Linked DNA regions of Saccharomyces cerevisiae S288C. The gene in region 2 interacts genetically with the main gene of each other region. Each region holds a gene or a part of one and is shown on either strand. Other genes may lie near its edges.

The links.
Region 1: of SIP18 (region 2) and GRE1, changing one enhances a phenotype caused by changing the other (phenotypic enhancement), as found in Saccharomyces cerevisiae (one study listed by BioGRID).

What each region holds. Positions count from the first base shown.
Region 1 is NC_001148.4:128,094-130,971, forward strand, and holds GRE1 (Gre1p), read right to left. Parts: upstream 1,046-2,878; coding exon 539-1,045; downstream 1-538. Other genes in the region: FMP40 (Fmp40p), read left to right, coding at 2,069-2,878.
Region 2 is NC_001145.3:609,239-611,936, reverse strand, and holds SIP18 (Sip18p), read right to left. Parts: upstream 922-2,698; coding exon 682-921; downstream 1-681. Other genes in the region: ECM5 (Ecm5p), read right to left, coding at 1-197; YMR175W-A (uncharacterized protein), read right to left, coding at 429-623; PAI3 (Pai3p), read left to right, coding at 1,572-1,778; DDR48 (DNA damage-responsive protein 48), read right to left, coding at 1,956-2,698.

The DNA.
Region 1 (2,878 bases), on a different chromosome or scaffold from region 2:
TATTGCGTTTGCTTTTTTGAGAAAGTAATTGCTTACACGTTCTAGAATAAAAAAGTATGGTTGTAAGAACGCACTTGAAAAGGCACCAATCTGCTCGGGTTTTTACAACTAACACTAACCTAGATGAGAGGTAAAAAGAAATCGTAAAAAAAAGTTGTTGCCCAGCACAATAACGACACTTTACCCGCTAATTCCAGGAGGTTTGAGTTAGACAACGACCTTCCCACCCCGTTTTCCCATAATTCTATTGTTATACACCTGGATCTGGAGGTCCGTGAAACGGCATACCTCGACGAAAAAGGTCACTACTAATCAAATCAAACTGACATTAATAAAAACGTATAAACTGACAGCTGTAGATCTAAATAAACTAGATTAAACATATGAAATAGTTTGTAAAAAGTGGCATCATGACCAATAATAGGTCCAGATGAAGAAAAAAGAAAAAAGAAGACGAAATTAGGGTAAAATTTCTCACTTGCTGCTCAAGGGTGAGACCCGCACCTCAGGCATGTAATAGAAGCTTCGACCACCGCATCTACCAGACGCCTTGGTTCCCACTATCATCATCATATTCATCGTTTCCTGACCCAGACAGATCGCGTCTACCGCTGCCGATATTAGAGGATTGGTAGCGGTTACTTTGAGCACCTCTTGTACGACCTTGTTTTTGCTGTTGGCCCGAAGTCAAGAAGTCATCGTCTTCATCGTCGTCCAACTGACCTTGAGTGTTAGTTTCGCGGTAAGTTTGGGTATAAGTGCCACCACCAGTGCCGGCAGTGTAGTCAGTAGTTTGTTGCTGGAAGTCGTTACCGCCAAACTGCGTGTTACCGCCTAGATTAGACTGTGGCTGCTGGCGTTGAGGGAAATTCCCTTGGTTTTCTTCGCCGTAGGGATCGGCCTTGGATCCTTGATTCCTGAATTCCCTCTGTTGATGTTTTTCATGACGCTGTTGTCTAGTCTGGTCGTCATTGTCGTCTTCGTAACGTTCATCATGATCGTTGCCGTGCAACTTATCAGCAAACTTGTTTAATAGATTGGACATTTCTTAATTGTTATTCGTACTTAGCTTTTATGCGGTAGTGTTTGGCTCTGCTGCTAGTAGATATTAAGAGTTGAGGGTAGGTATGTATCCTTTTTTTGATGAAATAGTAATGTGCTTTTATAGTCCAAGAAATATTGACTGCTTCAAGGGAGCCTGATTAACAAGCACGTAACGGAGACCAAAAAAAGGATTTCGGTCTTTTCTAACCATTTCCCTTTACTCCCTTGTGCGTTATTTGTTTTGATTACTAGGCATGATGTATGGAGGAACTTGCGATCAAATGTCATAAAAGTGGAGGAGTGAAAAGAAATGACGAAGCCCAAAACGTGGTCCTAGAATTACCACATTTCCTTTTTCTAAAGGAAGCCAGACTATGCTTTACGCAAGAACTGTGGTTAAAGAGGGATATTCTGATGAACATAAATTCATACACATTCATGAGAAGCACGACAAGGATTGGTTAATTACTTACAACTAAGGCAAAACTGCCATTGACCTCATCTGTACCACCACATGCTGTGTAGTTATTTTCCCTTTGTGATCCCTAAAAAAGATGGGATCTACACACCTTACAAGAACATCCTCAAACCCATACCTGGAACCACTGAACATATTCTTCCCGTGAAAGGCTCTACGGCGAAACTACTGTAATGTCACAGGAAATTAAGGATGCTTCGACTATGGAACGGACCATACATGGGGACCCGATGTATAGAAAGCCTCAATGAGGCAAAGAGTCTAGCTCCTTTAAGATACGTAATTCTCCTTCTGTTTTCCCTTAATTATTCGGGTGAAATACCACATGGTCGCACGGCTGACGGGGAACTCCGGAATTGGACGATGAAGAACTTAACGGTGATATGAGGTGATCGTGGAACAAAACGTTGTGCCAAAGAAGCCACAAATACGTCACTGTAATTATTCTGCCTGCATAAAAAGAGCCATCAAGGATAAGCTAGAGACTATACTCCGGAAGTAGAAGAAGGAAGGTGTGAGAAAGAAGATAGAGCGTGTAACACAATCATGGGGGAAAAAAGGACAATAATCAAAGCGCTGAAAAACTCTGCAGCGTCCCACTTCATCAAGAAGTTGACCGCAGATACTTCCCTGTCGTCCATACAAGAGGCAATAAACGTCGTGCAGCAGTACAATGCAACGGATCCCGTGAGATTAAAGCTTTTCCATACGCCTCGGATGGTTTCGCAGGGGGCTCATTTTGCATTTTGTTTGCCCACTAAGAAACCACATTACAAGCCATTACTGCTTTCGCAAAACGCACTTGATGAGTTTAATTTGGTGCAGGATCAGGACTTGGAGAAAATACTATCCGGTGAGAAAGTATATTATTCCGATAGTATCTTTCCCTATAGTACAGTGTACTCCGGATTTCAATTCGGCTCATTTGCTGCACAGCTGGGAGACGGACGTGTGGTAAACTTGTTTGATCTTAAGGACAAGTGTAGCGGACAATGGCAAACGTTTCAGTTGAAAGGTGCCGGTATGACGCCATTTTCTCGGTTTGCAGATGGGAAAGCTGTGTTAAGATCAAGCATACGTGAATTCATAATGAGCGAGGCGTTGCACAGTATTGGAATTCCATCCACAAGAGCTATGCAATTAACTCTGTTACCGGGGACGAAGGCGCAAAGGCGCAATCAAGAACCGTGCGCTGTTGTATGCCGTTTTGCGCCCAGCTGGATCCGCTTGGGTAACTTCAACCTATTCAGATGGCGGCACGACTTGAAAGGGTTGATCCAACTATCAGATTATTGCATTGAGGAATTGTTTGCTGGGGGGACCCAATTTGAGGGGAAACCCGACTTTAATATATTC
Region 2 (2,698 bases):
CTAAAATTATGATTTGAAGTAGGAATTACAGCACTCCGCGGCGATTCCCATTGTTTAATCGAAGGTCGCTCCTGTATCTCTAATTCGATGTCTGCAATTTTAGAGCTTTCATGGAACCCGTTTTGTACCATTACCTTTTCGTTAACCGGTTCATTCAGGATATGAGATATTTTTGTAACAGAATCATGCCCACTCATTATAACTATGGAGATGGACGTACGAACAAGAACATACACGATAATCTAGAATTTGGAACAAAAAGCGAAGTTATTCAATATTATTTTCCTCCGAAGCGCTACACCTCCAGCGCCCTTGAGCTTAAAACAACCTTTATCTTCCACGCTGATGTAAAGTGTAGTTCTTATTTTAAGTGATGATGTTCACGAACTATGCTCGGCCACCGTTCACACATGCCGAAGATTTGAGTGTCACATCAACAGGCTTTCGGACGACTGAATACCAACAGCATCAAGCTGATTTGGCATCATTGTATGCATCATACAAACGTAATAAAGCACGGATGGAAGTCTTAGATATGACTTATATATATTCGTAGAAGAAAATTCGCTAAAATAAGCACTTATTGATTTTGAGTATAAAGAACATAAACATAAACAATTCATAAATAAACCATTAAAAAAATAAAAGGACTTGGTTAATTGCGCCCAAAAAAACGTAACATTATTTTTTCATGTTTTCGTAAGTCTTCCAATCGTTCGCAATTCCTCTGCCAGCGTTCATCTTTGTTCCAGATTGATCATGGCCCATCTTCATTCCCCCTTCGGACTGATCATGACCCATACCCATGTCCATGTTCATATCATCCCTTTCCTTGTTGGAGGATTTGGCGTTCTTTCCCTTCTGATGGGAATCATCGTTACCTTGTAATTTTTCAGCGAACTTATTCATCATGTTAGACATCTTGACTATACTTTTTTATATACCTTTCTACTAAAGTAAAGAGCACAGATACAAAGATTAAAAATGCCTAGGGACAAAACTTTGGGGCAGAATTGGGAGCTTTATATATGTTTGTGATGTTGATTCTGAGGGATGATAATTGCCCTCTCAGTCCCATCATTCTTTACACCTCGTACTGTATTCATGATCATCTATCCATTTTACATACCGCTCCCTTTAAGATACGTTTATTCGTAACTCCCATTTACCAATCACTATGAGCCGTCCACGTTTCCAAAAAAACCTAAACATATGATGCAAACCTCCAATGAGACTCAACGTAACATGCAAGTAAATACAGAAGGTTAAGAGATAGTTGTCTTAAAGGGGTACCGAAAGCATTTAGGGGAGGCTTAAGGGAGGGTGCCGATCCTATGAAGTATTAATACGTAATGCCAAAAGGAATTGTTGAACATCTGAAGTGGATAGATTAATCGTACAGTAATCGTACAGTACTATGTCTTACTGATGTCGGGAATCTCAGGGGCGACCGCCCCCGGCTAGAATTATCTATATAACGGTAAAAAGAATAAAACTCTATTCTAGTTCTCGCCATTTACCTTGACTTTAATGAACCAATAAAAGAAATTTCTACAACCAAGACATCCAGAATGAATACAGACCAACAAAAAGTGAGCGAAATATTTCAGAGCTCAAAGGAAAAATTGCAGGGCGATGCAAAGGTAGTGAGTGACGCTTTTAAGAAAATGGCTAGTCAAGACAAGGACGGCAAGACTACCGATGCTGATGAAAGTGAAAAACACAACTATCAAGAGCAATACAACAAGCTCAAAGGGGCGGGGCATAAGAAGGAGTAGCTCTGTTGTCCTACTATCGATTATTTGTGCCAGCGGGCTCTGTTAGGTTGAGGGTGGAAAGTGTAGAAAAAGCAGACCTATTTGCCAGCGGATACATAGCCACAGCTCATACATAAAATTTTCATACTTAAGTCTAAACACAATAATATATTTTTTTTATCGAAGACATCCAAAAACTTAGTAATCGTCGTCACCACCGTATTGATTACGACCGCCTCTATTAGATGAACCATAAGAGTCATCATTGTTGGATGAACCGTAGTTGGAAGACCCATAGGAGTTCTTGTTTCTATTAGAGGAACCGTAAGAGTCGTCATTGTTGGAACCGTAAGAGTCATTGTTGTTGCTGGAGCCGTATGAATCATCGTTGTTGGAACCATAAGAACTCTTCTTTTTGTTAGAAGAACCGTAGGAATCATCGTTGTTAGAACCATACGAATCGTTGTTGCTGGAACCATAAGAACTCTTCTTCTTGTTGGAAGAACCATATGAATCATCATTGTTAGAGCCATAAGAATCGTCATTGTTGGAACCATAAGAACTCTTCTTCTTGTTGGAAGAACCGTAAGAGTCGTCGTTATTGGAAGATCCGTAAGAATCATCGTTGCTAGAAGAACCGTAAGAGCTCTTATTCTTGTTTGACGAACCGTAAGAGTCGTCATTGTTGGAACCGTAAGAGTCATTGTTGTTGCTGGAGCCGTACGAATCGTCATTGTTAGAACCATAAGAGCTCTTCTTCTTGTTGGAAGAACCGTAGGAATCATCGTTGTTAGAGCCATATGAATCATTGTTGTTAGAACCATATGAATCATCGTTGTTAGAACCATACGAATCGTTGTTGCTGGAACCATAAGAACTCTTCTTCTTGTTGGAAGAACCATATGAATCATCATTGTTAGAGCCATAAGAATCGTCATTGT